3 linked regions of the Arabidopsis thaliana genome follow. The protein of the gene in region 3 interacts with the protein of the main gene of each other region in a pairwise test. Each region holds a gene or a part of one and is shown on either strand. Other genes may lie near its edges.

The links. The genes of interacting proteins can lie anywhere in the genome.
Region 1: the proteins of BRCA2B (region 3) and DSS1(I) interact in a two-hybrid assay, tested with the Arabidopsis thaliana proteins (one study listed by BioGRID).
Region 2: the proteins of BRCA2B (region 3) and DSS1(V) interact in a two-hybrid assay, tested with the Arabidopsis thaliana proteins (one study listed by BioGRID).

What each region holds. Positions count from the first base shown.
Region 1 is NC_003070.9:24,051,612-24,055,877, forward strand, and holds DSS1(I) (deletion of SUV3 suppressor 1(I)), read right to left. Parts: upstream 2,298-4,266; 5' UTR 2,232-2,297; exon of another isoform or gene 2,142-2,231; 5' UTR 2,102-2,141; coding exon 2,008-2,101; intron 1,785-2,007; coding exon 1,662-1,784; intron 1,307-1,661; coding exon 1,176-1,306; 3' UTR 751-1,175; downstream 1-750. Other genes in the region: TUA1 (alpha-1 tubulin), read left to right, coding at 1-283, 370-685; AT1G64760 (O-Glycosyl hydrolases family 17 protein), read right to left, coding at 2,609-3,219, 3,302-3,801, 4,249-4,266. UniProt on the Arabidopsis thaliana protein: Subunit of the 26S proteasome which plays a role in ubiquitin-dependent proteolysis.
Region 2 is NC_003076.8:18,166,148-18,170,804, reverse strand, and holds DSS1(V) (DSS1 homolog on chromosome V), read left to right. Parts: upstream 1-2,421; 5' UTR 2,422-2,583; coding exon 2,584-2,674; intron 2,675-3,223; coding exon 3,224-3,354; 3' UTR 3,355-3,799; downstream 3,800-4,657. Other genes in the region: AT5G45020 (Glutathione S-transferase family protein), read right to left, coding at 317-550, 631-759, 826-1,050, 1,130-1,306, 1,387-1,599; AT5G45000 (Disease resistance protein (TIR-NBS-LRR class) family), read right to left, coding at 3,800-3,968, 4,059-4,560. UniProt on the Arabidopsis thaliana protein: Subunit of the 26S proteasome which plays a role in ubiquitin-dependent proteolysis. Also associates with the TREX-2 complex that is required for transcription-coupled mRNA export.
Region 3 is NC_003076.8:234,994-243,617, reverse strand, and holds the start of BRCA2B (BRCA2-like B), read left to right. Parts: upstream 1-2,511; 5' UTR 2,512-2,706; coding exon 2,707-2,860; intron 2,861-2,946; coding exon 2,947-3,090; intron 3,091-3,225; coding exon 3,226-3,387; intron 3,388-3,631; coding exon 3,632-4,618; intron 4,619-4,710; coding exon 4,711-4,835; intron 4,836-4,922; coding exon 4,923-5,077; intron 5,078-5,238; coding exon 5,239-5,361; intron 5,362-5,433; coding exon 5,434-5,619; intron 5,620-5,693; coding exon 5,694-5,775; intron 5,776-5,874; coding exon 5,875-5,925; intron 5,926-6,011; coding exon 6,012-6,093; intron 6,094-6,192; coding exon 6,193-6,304; intron 6,305-6,387; coding exon 6,388-6,459; intron 6,460-6,757; coding exon 6,758-6,956; intron 6,957-7,024; coding exon 7,025-7,207; intron 7,208-7,493; coding exon 7,494-7,636; intron 7,637-7,709; coding exon 7,710-7,772; intron 7,773-7,861; coding exon 7,862-8,066; intron 8,067-8,169; coding exon 8,170-8,343; intron 8,344-8,435; and 2 more. Other genes in the region: AT5G01650 (Tautomerase/MIF superfamily protein), read left to right, coding at 170-370, 495-551; PRA1.B5 (prenylated RAB acceptor 1.B5), read left to right, coding at 1,505-2,176. UniProt on the Arabidopsis thaliana protein: Involved in double-strand break repair and/or homologous recombination by mediating RAD51- and DMC1-facilitated DNA repair. Plays an essential role in both somatic and meiotic homologous recombination.

The DNA of each region.
Region 1 (4,266 bases), on a different chromosome or scaffold from region 3:
TCACCGAGTTCCAGACCAACCTTGTACCTTACCCTCGGATCCACTTCATGCTCTCCTCTTATGCACCTGTGATTTCATCTGCAAAGGCCTACCATGAGCAGTTTTCGGTCCCTGAGATCACGACTTCCGTCTTTGAACCCTCCAATATGATGGCTAAATGTGACCCTAGGCATGGCAAGTACATGGCTTGCTGTTTGATGTATCGTGGTGACGTTGTGCCCAAGGATGTCAATACAGCCGTTGCTGCCATCAAAGCCAAACGAACAATTCAGTTTGTTGACTGGTAAAGAGCTCACACTACTAGTGTTTCTTTCTCTCTTAAGTCTCCTTCTACTACACATTTCAAATCTTTGGTCATGTTAAAATTAGGTGCCCAACTGGATTCAAGTGCGGGATAAACTACCAGCCGCCTTCCGTTGTTCCAGGTGGTGACCTGGCTAAGGTTCAACGAGCGGTTTGCATGATCAGCAATAATACTGCAGTTGCTGAAGTGTTCTCACGTATAGACCATAAGTTTGATCTCATGTACTCCAAAAGAGCCTTTGTCCATTGGTATGTAGGAGAGGGTATGGAAGAAGGAGAGTTCTCTGAGGCTCGTGAGGATCTTGCTGCCCTCGAGAAAGATTATGAGGAAGTTGGTGGAGAAGGAGCGGAGGACGACGACGAAGAAGGCGATGAGTATTAGAAAGACACAAGAGTGTGTGTTCCCTTGTTTCTTTCTTGTGAAGTACAGTAATTATGTCTTTGTGAATGTGATCTCTACAGTTATTTTGTGATGTTTACGGGTCTCTCCCCTTTTATTTCTCATTTGTGTTTACTAAAGGATTGCATTTCTAGTGCATCTCAATACATAGTTTGAAGGATTTTTGGCATTTCAAATACCGTTTACGCTCTAATAAAGATCCTTGTAAGAAAATGTACATAGTAAGTTAGTAACTAATCCATGTCCATACGGAACACACCGCAATGGATGTTGAGAGAAGATGATGATCTTACCAGTTTAAATTTATCATCTTCAAAGATAAGAAATTTCCATCCAGGGAATAGTAAAATGTGCAAAGGAAAAGCAGAACCGATAACATAAACCAAAGGATGCAGTACAAACAAAGTTCCAGATCATAAAAGAAAACCAAGATTTCCTAAATGTGAAGACCTGTCTTTCACAATCTTCGACCTTATTTCTTGTCAGTACCATTCTCAAGCTCCTTCCTTAACTGACGTGAGAAGTCGTCATTGACATCATCATCATCCCAGTCATCTTCCCACTGCTGGCTAACTTCCTTCACTTCTTCTTTCTCCAACCAATCTGCCCAACATAAAAAGATCCATCAGTATTTACTTTGACCGTAAAAGGACAGCAAAAACATCCATTCCACATCCAACTACACAACTCATACAAACAGAAACCCTCTTTATCAATTCTTTCAATAAAACTATTAGTAAAATCACAAAGCAAAATCTGTTAAACCTTTAGGCTACTCAATGCCCTCAAATAATTCCCAAATCCTCAATAACCTTTAGGCTTTAGTAAATGAAGCGTTGACTATTAAGACTAAACCTAATCATCAATAAGTTGCTGAAAAAAACTGCTCTTTTATCCATTTAGTAAGTATGAGACTATAGCTTCATTGTTAGAACTATATGAAAAAAGATCTATCAACCTATCTCACACCTGAAATTGACATCAAACAGATTCGTTTTCATATCAGACCTACTCAACTCATACACTAGTCCATCTTTATCAATCCTTTCAATACAACTACTAGTTAAATCTGAAGAATCAACTAACTTGCAAATCAAAATCTATTAAAATCAGAATCTGATACAATTCATACAAATAATTCTCAATTCAACCATATAAAGCATTGCCTGTATCTATCAATCAGTTGCTAATGAAAATCGCTCTTATATCTATGGCATCGTAGCTTCATCGTTAAGACTATAAAACCGATGATGAATCGATTCAAAAATCGAAGAAGAAACAAGTAATAACAACAAAAATTTTACCTTCGTTAATTTCAAATTCCTCGAACTCATCGTCGTCCTCAAACAGATCCATCTTTACTACTTCAGCAGTCGCTGCCTTCGGTTCTGCCGCCATAGTTACAGATTGTTAAAGGAACCAACCAGATCGAGATAACCTAAGAAGAAGAAGAGGAAGACGAAAACTCGATAAAATTTTCCAAGTTATTATTGCAAAAGCATGGAATTGATAATGATGAAACCCTAACCTCTCTGAGAGCTTTAACGAGAGAGTAAGCGAACTTTTGTTTTTCTTAAGAGAAGAAGCAAATAATAAAGGGAAGGTTTTTTCTTTTTGTATAGAACCGGTTCGACCGTGTTTTCCTTTTTGTGAATTTGTAAAATTTGATGGTTTTCTATTTATTTTTTAATTGCTAAAAGAAATTGTAACATTAATGAATTTGTAAAATAAAACTGTAGTGTAAAACTGTATTAAAATATCGATAGAACAAGTATCTGGATATTCCGATTTATCTAGGATTCAACTTCTAAGAACATGGACAAAAGAATCATTGTAATATATATATCTGTAAGAAAACAATTAGGCTCACAAAACCTCACTAAGTTCAACAAATTCAATCTAACCTCAAAACATCATCCCTGATAACAGAAACCAAACGATCAACACAACCAAAGAATAAGACGAACAAGAAAAAGAAGAGGCTGAGGAAGCCACAATCTGAATAGGGAAATTGCATTGTCCTTGAGATATATTCTGCGTTGTAATGGTGGCCAAACCTTGAAAATAGCAAGCACTCTCATCTTGATTCTTCACTTGAAAGAACATGTTAAACGCATACGACGCGTTTCCATTTGCATCAAGAGTATTGCAAGAAGATCCGTATCCAAGCGCCGTGCAATCAGAGAAAGTGCAGGCGTAATCTATATTAGCCGCGAGTTTTGTCAAGTCCTTGGCTTCTGGATTAAACGTACACCACTTGTTGGGTAGATACGGCACGTTTTGTGCACCAATCAAGAACTTACTCTGTCCTTGACCTGAAAGATCTATAGGAAACTTTGGTTGCCCGTCGAATTTAAATATTCCCCAATGGCGTTCGAACGGTCCCGGTGCTATACTTTTTGCATCCTCGTCGAGTAATCCGAACAAGTATACCTCAATGTAGGTTGGTCTCAATGGAGTTCCTTTGTTTGTTCCAAGCCTCGGTAAAAGCCCGTTGTAGAATCTGTAAGCACTGCCTGTGAAAAAACCGTTTTCAAAATCAAAACTAAAACACTTCATAAAGGATAAAAATCCATCTAAAGAAGGTCAGATATCAACCTGCATTAGCGTGTTTGTCACCCTCTGTTGGCCAACCAACTTCTCCAACGATTATTGGCATATCTCCGTGACCAACAGCTTTCAAAGACGACACCAAAGTATCGAAATTGGCATCGAAAACGTTTGTATAATCAATACCGTTGTCGTTTATCGGTTCAGCACCATCGAAGAAGGCGTAGTTGAGTGGGAAATCATCATTCCCATAGAGACTTAAGAAAGGGTAGATGTTAATTGTGATGGGAGCATTGTTCTTGCCAAGAAAGTCAACAATCTGAGTCATTTGACCGATGATATCGGGACGGAATCTTCCTGCAGATGGAACGGGATTGCTTGCTGGTGAATCGTATACATCCGCGTTTAAAGGGACTGTTGCTTTGACAGAGTTTCCTAGTCCGGCTTCATTTAAAGCGTTTTGAATGTTCGCAAGTGCAGGGAATGTGAGGTTTATGAACGATCCATTGTATGATTTGAGGAATGGCTCATTCCCAACAGCTACAAACCTGAAACACATCCACAAGTGATTAGCTTCACTGAGACATGTAAACACATTTTTCTCTAAACATGTTCTGCATTTTGACAGTACTGTTAAAAGATTTGACTTTTATAGATATAAATACATTTTAGTGGAAACAGGTTCTGCATTTGACAGTAGTGTTAAAAGATATTTGATTTCATAATCAGACAACACAGATTTCACCAGACATTGAAAATCAACCCTAAACATCCAATCTTCAGAAACAAACATATATAGCTAGACACATTTTGTCTATAGACATAACTCACTCATGGTTATGCATTTGGCAATGTCATAAACTAAACAACCATGGGTTTATGAGGTTTCGACAAACAAACACAAAGAATGTTAATTTTGACGTTTAGACAAACACTACAACCAATCAATAACAATAACATTGAGACAGAACAGAGAGGAAGAGAGACAAACTCACGTGATATTGACACCACCA
Region 2 (4,657 bases), about 18 Mb from region 3:
GAAATGGTTTTATTAATGGTGTGATCATACAAAAAGAAATGGTTTTATTAATCTTATTTGCAAAATGGTGTGATCATACTCAAACGTCATTTAAAAGCTTTCATGCTCACACTCTCTCTCCCTCTCTCTCTTTATCATCTTTCAACACAATAAGCATATCAACAAGCTTAAATAAAAGAGAATGATCTGTGTCAAAGTGTTTCAAAAACTAGGTTAATCTCCAAACATACATTCACTTCTCAAAATGTAGAACATAACATGACTTGAAACGTTTTCACACACACACACAAGTATTGACATTTGATGTTTGTTTCTTTCACGAGGAGAATCTGTCGCGATCATGAGGCGAAGAGTAGTCGATATTGGGGCCGTGAGGGATGATCCCGAATGGGTTTATCGTAGGGTGGCTTCCGTAGTAATGTTGCTTAATGTGTTCCATGTTTACGGTGCTACTCATGCCGTGTATTTGGTAAATGTCTTTTATGTAGTTGAAGATATTCGGGTACTCCCGTAAGAGTCTCTTGTTGCATTTGAAGTGAACTGCATAAACCTGGAACGCAGAAAAAGATGATGTCAAGAACCTGATGGATTTTCTATTTGGAAACAAAGAAGACAAGTTGACTCATATACCTCATCAAATCTTATGAGAGTGACGAATAATCGGATATCTGCTTCAGTGAAAGTGTTTCCGCAGATGTATCGTTGTTTTCCGAGTACTTCCTCACATCTATCTACTGCTTCATATAACTGGTTCACTGCCTGGAGAGAAAAGGGATCAATTTTTGAATCCCTGTTCAAATGTTTAAGACATTGAGGGATATATACCTCATTATAGGGTTCTTGTTTCCTTGCAAACCCACATTTATAAACACCGTTGTTTATTCCGTTGAAAACCCATCCGTTAGTCTCGTTGATTACGTCTCTGAGATGAGAAGGATAAAGGTCAAGTGACGGGGTTTTCGCAATACCATTGAACTCAGTGTTGAACATCCGGATTATCTCTGAACTCTCATTGTTAACAACAGTCTTAAGCTTCTTATCCCAAAGAACCTAACATAATAACAAAACAAACATTCAAGAAACAGGACAAAGAAAGATTAAAGAGTTCACCAAAGAGATCAAAACTTACAGGAACAGTGTACTTCCCTTCATAGTTTGGGCTAGCAATCTCGTAGAGTTCTCTCACACTTTTGGCACCATTAAGATAGTCAGGCTCAGCTCCAGGGAGCTCGGTATCCGAATCCGGGAAAACCCATCCTCTATGATCATCAGTTTCCTTGGTTCTTCCCCAAATGGCATGAACCGACTAATCAAATCAAATAAAACAGAAATGCTTCAGGTTAACAAAGTCTTCTAATTCGATATGAGCAATGAATTTGTACTAACCGAGAAGGTGATTGCTTCATCAAGTCCTTTGATCTTTAAGTAAGAAAGACATCTACAAGCCCATGGACAAGCATAAGATATGTAAAGATGGTATCTTCCTGATTCAGCTGGAAACTGAGAATCAGGATCTTGTGAAACAAAGTTGCGGAATGTTGATGCTGTTCTTACAAAAGCTCCAGATTCTGATGTCTCATCAACCCCAGACCTAGCCATTTTGCTACTAATAAAAAATCAAACACGAAAATTCACATGACAAACGAAAAGAATAAAAATTTCAGAATGCACAATTTTTCTTTTTCACCTCAATAGAGTGAGTAAAGTTGAAAACTTTGAGAGATTTCTTATAGATGGTCACTTGTCACATAATCAATCTCAATTTTCTCTAGGTAAAGGATCACAGGAAACGAATCAAAGCATCAAAAAGTTCAGAAATTTCGAGTAGGGTTTTACTTAATTATCTCATTAGAGCTAGAAAAAGGTTAAAATAAAATGTTCATAATTCATAGCCTTCAAATATGATTTTCAACATTTATGGATCATTGGGCCAAAATCAAACCCAGAACTCAGAAAATGTCTAACAAGAACATGATTCATGCAGAGAAGAAGATAAGAGACAAAACCTGTTGACGACGATGTTATGTATTTGGCGTCGAATGTCGCTGTTTTGTGGCGATAAGGTTAAAGAAGAAAAAGTGAGCTTTAAGGAAAAATGGTAATGAGGGATGTCATCTTATAGTGAAAGAGAAGGAATCCGAAAAAGGACTTTGCTTTGTCTTCACTGCTCTGTCACGCCTAGCGAGTTAACTCAGACTAACGAGTTGACTCAGCTGGGTTCTGTGGGGAAAGCGTGACAACTTTTGGACCGGTTTGTATGTCATGGATTTGGTCAAGACGAATGCGACTATTGGACCGGTCTAAAACAGCTTCTTTTAAACCTCAATCGGATATTTTTAATATTGGGTCGGATTCGGTATGAATCATATAAGATTCGGGTCGGATTCGGTATGAATCATATAAGATTCGGGTCGGTTATTGGAAATTGGTAATTTTCCCCTTCTTCAAGTTAGACCCAAAACGAAAAAAAGGTTCGTTTAAAGAGCTCTGGTTGGGTTTAACTTGGAGGAATTAATCGAGTTTGGTGATCTTCTTCTTAGGTTTTTTTCTCGATCTGGTTGATTTGCTTAAACATCTGTAACTATGGCGGCAGAACCCAAGGCAGCTGTCGAAGTGGTGAAGGTGGATCTATTCGAGGACGACGATGAGTTCGAGGAATTTGAAATCAACGAAGGTGATTTTTTTGTTTTATACTAATTGCTTCTTTGATTTTCGAAATTGATTCATCATCGGTTATAAAATTAATGGAGATAAGAGCAAATTTCATTAGCAACTGATTTGGTGATTGATTAGGTTTTGGTATAAATACAAATTTTGATTCTGCACTGTCTTATACAAACTAAGATAGTCTCTATTGTATGAAGTTGGGTAGTTCTGATGCGAAAACGGATCTGTTTGATATATGTTTATGATGATGAAGCTACGGTCTCATAAACTTGATGGATAATAGTGCAGTTTTATGAGCAAACTACTGGTGATTATGTTTGCATTATTAATCGGCAAGGCTTCATGAGCTAAAGGGCCTAAAGGTTATGGTGGATTTAGGAATTATTTGGGGGCATTGAGTAGCTTGGGGGAGAGTTGTACAATTCAACTTAAGCTAGGATCAGTTTCTGATTTTAACAGATTTTGCTTTGCAATGTTAGTTCAGTCTTGAGATTTAACAAATAGCTTTATTGAAAGAATTGATAAAGATGGATATTTTTATTGTTATGTTTGGCAGATTGGTTGGAGAAAGAGGAAGTGAAGGAAGTTAGCCTGCAGTGGGAAGATGACTGGGATGATGATGATGTCAGTGACGACTTCTCGCGTCAGTTAAAGAAGGAGCTTGAGAATGCTAGTGAGAAGAAATGAGGTCCAAGATTGCGAGAAAGGCAGGTCTTCTCATTTAGGGAACCTTGGCTTTTTTGTTTGAATTGCATCCTTTGGTTTATCGTAGCATGTATCGGTTCTCCTTTTCCTTTACACATTATACTCTTCCTTGGATGCAAATTTCTCGTCTTTGAAGATGATAAATTTGAGCTGATAGTAATTCTATTCTGATAATCACCATCTTCTCTCAACACAGTGCGGTGTGGACATGGATTGGTTTACTATGTACATCACAAAATAACCGTAGAGATAACATTCAAATAGACATAGCTGATGTGCGTCACAACATTACATATAGTGTTAGCGTCCACAAGCCAGAAGCGAGAAAACATCATTTTGTTTCTAATATTAACATAAAATCTTGTGCAAGACAACAACCAAAAACGGAAAGCCTAATAACAACTTACCAATTTTCAAAAAGTTCACATCAGGCATAGGCATAGGGTATATGAAGACAGCAAAGATAAATGTAGCAGTCAAAGCCCTCAAGAAAACTTCTCCAATACCTAATTTTCTTCTTCTTCTTCTTCTTTGGAGAGTTTGGTAGTAATCTTGTAACCTCTTTAACAATGGCACCGACAAGAGCAAATTCGTTCCTGCAAAATGAGTGAAAGAAACTGATTAGACGACCTTACCACAAAGTCGATCTTACTACAAAACAAGAGTTCTATTAAATATTCTATTACATGTGTGCTTCCAAGCTCAAGCCAATCCTCCCTGTAACAGTAGATGACTTCAAGGATTTTTCCCAACTTTCAACCATCATTGGTTCCATAGCAAATCTCTCTTTTGTGTTTCTAAAATGTATTCCAAACTCTCCCTCAAGTCTTCTCACTTCGTTTGTTTTCACACTGTAGAAGACTGGAATGACCACGAGTTTTCCTTCCTTGGCAAGCTCTTCCATCTTCACAAGCTCGTTCAAACACCGATATGACTCAGAATACCTCTTTGAGAAGATGGCAAGCGCGATATTCGAGTTCTCTATACTCATGAACACTTCTTGTTTTTGTCCACTTCCTATAAGCTTGAAGCTGTCTTTGAAGACATTGATCCCTGAGTCTCTCAAAGCCCACACGAGATGTTTAATAAAGTTGTCGCCAAGCTCGTCATTGCAGAAATTGACAAACACTTGTGGGCGACGTGTTGGTAGTCGGTCTAGCTCTGCCATTAGAGGCTCAAAAGATTGACCTGAAACACACACAAAAACAAAACTATTAGTACAACTTTTCAAAACTCAAATCATACTTCACAAGCAATATAACACACAATTATAATCTAAAAGACA
Region 3 (8,624 bases):
GGCCATTCCTGGCCCTTGAATTTCTCATTGCTGAAGTTTGTTTTCAAAAACAATATTGGTCTGCTTTGACGATTGCTTGTTTATGTTAGTGATGTTTAAATATTTTTGTCCTGTAATGTTGTTTCTTAGATCATTATCTGATTGCATTGTTCATTGTGGTAATTTGCAGTATGTGATGATTGTCTTGAAAGGCTCAGTGCCTATGTCATTTGGCGGGACCGAGGATCCTGCAGCTTATGGTGAATTAGTTTCTATCGGTGGCCTTAATGCGGATGTGAACAAGAAGCTAAGCGCTGCTGTTTCCGCCATTCTTGAGACTAAGCTATCGGTGCCCAAGTCTCGATTCTTCCTCAAGTTTTATGACACCAAGGCAAGCAATTCCCTCTCTCTGATAACTTTTTTGATGTAGTGACATAACATATGCAAATGTGTTAATGATTTCATATGCCCGATATGCGTCCATGTCTCATTTTCATTGTTCGTTGTCTCTCTAGGACCATCAAAGTCAAGAATATGCACAATGTTTACACGCTTTACACCAGCACTACTAGGTCATGAATAGGGAACAAATACATCTTATGTGTGTAAGTTCATCATCATAAGACGGACCTATAACTTTTACTCATAAACTAGGCATTATAAACAATTAAATCAAATGCATAAACCGTTCCACTACTCGAATTCAATCTTTACACCCACACTGTTGAGTTATTTAGGAGATTCGTTCAACTTCTCTAAATCCGTTGTCTAACTGGCTTAGAGGGTCATCCATCATCTGGAGTGTTTATGCCTATAACCACCTGATATATCAATTATACATTTCTTTTCTCGTGTGGTTCTTCTTGCAGGGATCCTTCTTTGGTTGGAACGGGGCGACTCTTTAATTCCGTGGTAGGTGATTAGTGTGATTGTCTTGAAATGTATGATCTACTCTCATCGATCAAGTAACTTTGAACTACTTCGTATTGTAAACATATCTAAGGTTTGATGGAGTTGCATTAAGAAATAACATTTATGCTATATATGATGCTACAACTTACTATCAGGGTAAACAATGGTTATTTAGTCTTTGTCTACTCGTTAGATATAATTATGTTTAGAATTCGAAGATGAATGTTATCAAAGAAAAAAGGATTTGACATTGTCAAGTCTACTACTCCATATGACAGATCAACATTGTGTTAAAAATATTTTCTATTAGGGAAACTTCCTGTGACTGGAACATTAATGGTCAAATGCACTTTGCCTAAGTAATCAAGAATTATTGTATAAACTACGTTAAGCAAAAAAATAACCTGAGTTATAATATCAGGAGGTTATTTTTATTTTTATTTTAGCAAATGAATATAGATTAGCTATCAGATGAAGCAAGGTGTATAATCAAAGTTGAAAGACGCGTAATTGTGATCCTATATATACATAACACTACCGCAACTTCAGCAACCTCTAAATCATTCGTCTCCTAAAATTTTCCAATCTCAAAATCCCAAAAGAACAAAATCGAATGGTGTCAACAAATCCCCCTGTTCTTCCAATTTCCACCACCGCAACAGACACCACCAATCAGCCTCCGATTGTAACCGCTGTGGTGGAATCGCAACCTCCAGTCGTCCGTGCATTTGTCAACGGTGTGACCGAGACGGTCTGTGGTGGTCTATCTCGTAGCCGTCCGTGGTCAGAGCTCCTCGATCGATCCGCTTTCACAAAGCCTGACTCTCTCTCCGAGGCCGGGACGCGATTCCGGAAAAATTCCTCTTATTTCAGGGTGAATTACGTTTGCATTGTCGCTCTGATCCTTGGTTTCTCTCTTCTCGCCCACCCATTCTCTCTCATCCTCCTCCTATGTCTCGCCGCTTCCTGGCTCTTCCTCTACCTCTTCCGTCCATCAGATCGTCCTCTTATCCTCTTCGGCCGATCTTTCTCCGAATACGAAACTCTCGGTGGCCTAATCCTCTCCACGATCGCAGTGATCTTCTTCACAAGCGTCGGATCTGTATTGATATCCGCTCTCATGATCGGAATAGCAACAATCTGTGTCCATGGCGCCTTTAGAGCTCCCGATGATCTCTTCCTCGACGAACAAGATCATGCCGCCTCCGGATTCCTCTCATTCATCGGTGTTCCCGCGATCCCCTCTGTAGCACCCTCTGCCTCCTCAGCGGCTTCCCCCGTGTAAATTATAGTTCTCAGAATCTGGCGTGTTTAGAGATTTGAAGGTGGAGATTGTTGCAATGTAATTTTCTGTGATACTTGACCATTGTTGCAATGTAATTTTCATTGAAGTCAGTCACCAATCACATTGAACAGATGTTTTAAAATGTCCACGTAAGCAATTATTGTTTGGAACGATTTCGGGTTAGCATTCGTGCCGTTAGTTACCGCAATAAAAGGCCGTGGCAATATCACACTTGTCTTGGAACGCTATGTCCGTAAAAACCAAGCCCAAAGTTAAAATAAAACCACGCGTCTCATAATTTCGGCCCAAATCTTTTTCAACTTTCCCGCCTTTGTCAGAACTTTTAACTTTTTGGATTTTTGGTGATGATTTTGGTTTGGGGAAAGAAAATAAAACAATAAAAATAAAAATTCCGCACTCCCGACTCCTCCCTCTTGGCGTGGTAGGCAATTCTGAATCGCGAGGTTTAGTTCTCCGGCTGAATCATATAACGACGAATCGGAAAACTTGGAAACCCTAGAACTGAATAAATGTCGACGTGGCATTTATTTTCCGATTCCAGCGGCGATGGTTTCCGGTGGGAAGTCGCTGGCCGGATTCTTCAGTCCGTCTCGGATTCTACGCCAACCAAGGCGCTCGAATCGACAGCTCCTCTACCTTCCATGGCCGATCTCTTGCTCCAAGGTGATTCTTCGTATCTTCCTTTTCTTTGTCGAATCGTGTTTGTCATGTGACTCAAAGGAGATTGAATTATTATTTGATGCTTCAAGGATGCTCGAAGCTTATAGAACGGGAAGAATCGATGCCTGGGGAAATCCCAATGTTCAGGACTGGGCTGGGGAAGTCTGTAGTTCTTAAAGAGTCTTCGATTGCTAAAGCCAAATCCATTTTAGCAGAGAATGTTGCTTATTCAGGTATTTTATGTGACAGTATTGAATTCCCTTGACTAGTCATTTGTTTCTGAATTCGCTTGAATTGTTACTTAATGTTGGTGAATATGTGTTCCTGAAAATCTTTTGAATGTTCCATGTTCTTGGCTACACTTTTAGATTTGCAGAACACAAATTGCTCAATTCCCCAAACGAGACAAGTGGATACAGCTGAAACTATGCCAATGTTCAGGACGGCCTTGGGGAAAACTGTCCCTTTGAAAGAGTCTTCAATTGCCAAACCTTTGTCTATTCTAGGAAGTGATATGATAATTGACTCAGGTGTGTTCTTATCTCCTCTTTTTTTAAGTCTTATATCCAGCTGTGTGCGCATTTACATATGAACTTGTTGTTTGTGCTGCTACTCCGTTCAACTTCCAGGTTTCTTGAGTTTGGTTGTTATCAGATAAAACGATGAATAGTGAAGAACTAATCAACACACATCTTACTTCGTTTAGAGAATAAATATTAGAAGTGACATTTTTTCATAGTTTATTTGTTAATAAGATTCTTTTTGATTGTGTAGACAACGTTCTTCCCAGGGAGAGTGGGTTTGGTGTTCCCAACAGTCTTTTTCAGACAGCTTCCAACAAAAAGGTTAATGTATCTTCTGCCGGTTTAGCAAGAGCCAAGGCATTGTTAGGACTAGAAGAAGATGATTTGAATGGATTTAACCATGTGAACCAGTCGTCTTCTTCCCTCCAGCAACATGGGTGGTCCGGTTTAAAAACTCATGAGGAGTTTGATGCTACAGTGGTTAAGCATCATTCAGGAACTCCAGGACAATATGAGAATTATGTATCTGGGAAGAGATCTGAAATCTTAAATCCATCGTTAAAGGTGCCTCCAACAAAGTTTCAGACTGCTGGTGGAAAATCATTGTCAGTGTCAGCTGAGGCGTTGAAACGTGCCAGAAACCTTCTTGGTGACCCTGAGTTAGGGTCTTTCTTTGATGATGTAGCTGGAGGTGATCAATTTTTTACACCACAGAAAGATGAAAGGCTAAGTGATATTGCTATAAACAATGGAAGTGTCAACACAGGTTATATTGCTCATGAAGAAAAGACAAGCAACAAACATACGTCAAATAGTTTTGTATCTCCTCTTCATTCATCTTCAAAGCAATTTAGATCAGTTAACTTGGAGAACCTAGCTTCAGGGGGTAATTTGATCAAGAAATTTGATACGGCTGTTGATGAGACCAATTGTGCTCTGAATATCAGTAAACCTGCTACACATGGACTATCAAATAACAGGCCTTTAGCATCAGATATGGCAGTGAATAATTCCAAGGGAAACGGTTTCATTCCAAGAGCTAGGCAACTTGGAAGGCCTGCTGATCAGCCACTTGTTGATATAACAAATCGCAGAGATACAGCTTATGCAAACAATAAACAAGACAGTACCCAAAAGAAAAGGCTGGGAAAGACAGTCTCCGTTTCTCCTTTCAAAAGGCCAAGGATTTCATCCTTTAAAACTCCTTTAAAGAAAAATGCTCAGCAAGCTTCAAGTGGTAATATATACGATTAATTTTAATTTTAATTTTTTGTTAATCTAATTGGTTGGTTCTCAGATTTATAATTTTGGTGTCCTGTCTATTATCAGGTTTGTCTGTTGTATCGTGTGATACACTTACTTCCAAAAAGGTACTTTCTACAAGATATCCAGAAAAGTCTCCAAGAGTATATATCAAGGAGTTTTTTGGAATGCATCCGACAGCTACGACCAGGGTAAAATCTTTTTGTCCCTTTCACCTGTTCCTGCGTTACATAAATTTTTTCTTCATTCACTCAAACACATTTACGAGGTGGTTTTAGATGGATTATGTGCCAGACCATGTCAGAAGAATCAAATCAAGTAATGCAGATAAATATGTATTCTGTGATGAGTCTTCTTCAAACAAGGTTGGAGCTGAAACTTTTCTTCAAATGTTGGCTGAGTCGGGTGCTTCCTTACAACATGCATCCAGAAAGTACTTTCTCTGTCCCTTGAAATGTTAACCGTGTTATATGTTTATTATATCAGAAAAAGTGTGTGACTGTTCGTTTGAAGCTTGCATGTGATTGTCACTCTATTAGATAGACAGTTTGATGTCTATATCTATTAACTTATCTATCACTACATATGCACTAGGTGGGTTACTAATCACTACAGGTGGATAGTCTGGAAACTTGCATGCTACGACATATACTACCCAGCCAAATGCAGAGGAAACTTTCTAACAATCACCAATGTTCTTGAGGAACTAAAATACAGGTTTCCCAGTCTCACAACACAACTCGTTACTTAAACTCATGCAAAGTCTAACATGGTTAATCTTCTTAATAGATATGAGAGAGAGGTCAATCATGGTCATTGCTCTGCAATCAAGAGGATTCTGAGTGGTGATGCTCCAGCTTCTTCAATGATGGTCCTCTGCATATCAGCTATTAATCCAAGGACCGATAATGGTTCTCAGGAAGCACATTGTTCTGATAATTGCAGCAATGTGAAAGTCGAACTCACTGATGGGTGGTATGAAATTGCTACTGCTGTTCTGTTACCTGTTTTCTTGTCTCATTTCCATAGGATTTTTTTTTAAATCACAGGTACTCGATGAATGCTGCTCTGGATGTCGTGCTAACCAAGCAGCTGAATGCTGGCAAATTGTTTGTGGGGCAGAAGCTTCGAGTAAGTTATATTCATGCAAGATATACTTTGTTTTGCAACACAGATTTTGGTTAGATCACTGACTTGCAGCATGCTTACGTTCTTATCTCTTATCTGAAGATCCTCGGGGCAGGACTTTCTGGCTGGGCTACCCCAACATCACCACTTGAGGTTTCCTAGACTTTGCATTTTATAAGATTTTCTGATATCTTCTCAGGTTGGTTTGTTCTTAGAGTTTCGTTCAACCAAACTTTCAGGCAGTGATTTCAAGTACAATCTGTTTGTTGTTGAATATTAATGGGACATACAGAGCTCACTGGGCGGACCGACTAGGCTTCTGTAAGTAGCTTTATGCTGTGGACCTCACTACATCATCTGAGTTCTTATTGCTTTCATATTATTATCTTTCTATTGATCGTTCTTAATCTCTTCCTCAAGGTAAAGAAATTGGTGTCCCTCTGGCTTTCAACTGTATCAAGTGCAATGGGGGTCCAGTGCCTAAAACGCTAGCTGGCATCACACGAATATACCCCATCCTATACAAGGAAAGGTCAATATAAATGTGTGCCTGTTAATGCACTTTGGTCTTCCTTATACTTCTCGCAAAGCATTATATTTTCTTGATGTATACAGGTTAGGTGAAAAGAAGTCAATAGTTCGATCAGAGAGAATAGAAAGTAGAATTATACAGCTGCATAATCAGAGGCAAGTTTCCTTATAACTGTAGAGTAGCAATTTTTAGTAACATTTATGTGATCAATTTAGCACATCACTTTCTAAGAAGTGTCAGATTAACTCATCAAAGCTAGAGACATTTGTTACATACACCAATATTAGGGTTCTAAGTAGTTTTTGGGACAGACAAAGAATCTTTGTATTTATTAGAAAAGCTTCTGGCCTTCTGAATATGGATGGTTTTGCCAACAGAAGAGCCAAAGATTGCAGTTCCTCATGGTTTATTCTCATTCGTACTTTTCTTTCTTTCTTTTTCTATTTTCCGTAGGCGCTCAGCTCTTGTTGAGGGTATTATGTGTGAGTACCAGAGAGGAATTAATGGTGTTCACAGCCAAAACGATACTGACAGCGAAGAAGGAGCCAAGGTCTTTAAGCTGTTAGAGACGGCTGCTGAACCTGAACTTCTTATGGCTGAAATGAGCCTAGAGCAGTTGACATCTTTCACTACATATAAAGCAAAATTTGAGGTAGAATAGTAATTCCCTTTTCTTGATATATTGATTACAGTAATTAACTGCTTCAATCTGAACCTCAGGCAGCCAAGCAAATGCAGATGGAAAAATCAGTGGCAAAAGCTCTGGAAGACGCTGGTTTAGGTGAAAGGAACGTCACCCCATTCATGAGGATTAGGCTTGTTGGCCTGACGAGCTTAAGTAATGAAGGAGAGCACAATCCAAAAGAAGGCATTGTAACAATCTGGGATCCCACGGAGAGACAGGTACATTCAAATGCCTAAATCTGAATGTTTCATGCACAATTTAAAAGAAGGCATTTTTCTAATGGCTTATAAGTTTACACGAACCTTATCCATATGAGCTTATATGGAACGGGGAGTTCCAAATATAAGCTCGTCAGAGTTGCTGTGGACCTCGAATGGACTGAAATGCATATCAAAAAATCGTTACCATCACTGTACTGTTGCATTAAGAGCATCATCGATTAGCTTGTTCAACTTTTTTCTTGTAGATTCTTAAAACAGTTATCATTGTCTACTACTGTGACAGAGAACCGAGCTGACGGAGGGGAAAATATACATAATGAAAGGGCTAGTACCAATGAACTCAGATTCAGAAACACTTTACTTACATGCCAGAGGGTCAAGCTCAAGATGGCAGCCTTTGTCTCCAAAAGATTCTGAAAATTTTCAGTAAGTGGTTTTCTTTAGTAGACACTGGAATCTATCTCATTAATTTGTTCAATTTCCCTGATGATGTTTTCAGGCCTTTTTTCAACCCTCGTAAACCAATCTCTTTGTCAAATCTTGGTGAAATTCCTCTGTCAAGGTTAATCTCAGTAGTCCAAGCTTTTTATAAAACACTATTTACCGCACTTTGCTAATCTATACTCTATCATCTCTAATTATGTCCTTCAGTGAATTTGATATCGCTGCGTACGTTGTATATGTTGGAGATGCATACACAGATGTTCTACAAAAGAAGCAGTGGGTGTTTGTGACAGATGGATCCACACAACATTCAGGGGAAATCTCAAACAGTCTTCTTGCTATAAGCTTCAGCACCCCATTCATGGATGATAGCTCTGTTTCCCACATCAGCCATAATTTGGTTGGATCCGTGGTATGTACAAATTCTAATATTTGTCTAGTTTTACACTGAGAGAATATGCACCGAGAAATTATTGTTTGAAAAATATATGCTTTGTGGGCTTAATTTTTGGCAGGTCGGATTTTGCAATCTAATTAAAAGAGCAAAGGATGCGACAAACGAAATGTGGGTTGCTGAGACAACAGAGAACTCAGTCTACTTCATAAACGCAGAAGCTGCCTACTCTTCTCACCTTAAAACCCGCAGTGCCCATATCCAAACATGGGCTAAGCTCTATTCTTCCAAATCCGTTCGTTCTCGTCGACTTCCTCTTTCTATAAGTATTCGGTTCAAAAAGATTGTTCTATTGTATTAAGCCTTCTTGGTTTGCTCAATTTTCAGGTCATCCATGAACTTCGGCAAAGAGTCCTATTTATAATCGGTGCTTGTAAATCACCTTCATGCTGAAGATAAATCATACACCACCTCTTCTCTTTTTTTTTTTTTTTTCACAACACCATTTCTCTTAAGTTTTTGTTTATAAATCTAGCCCTCTGCTGATTGTATCTATTAAAGCCCATTTTGCTACAT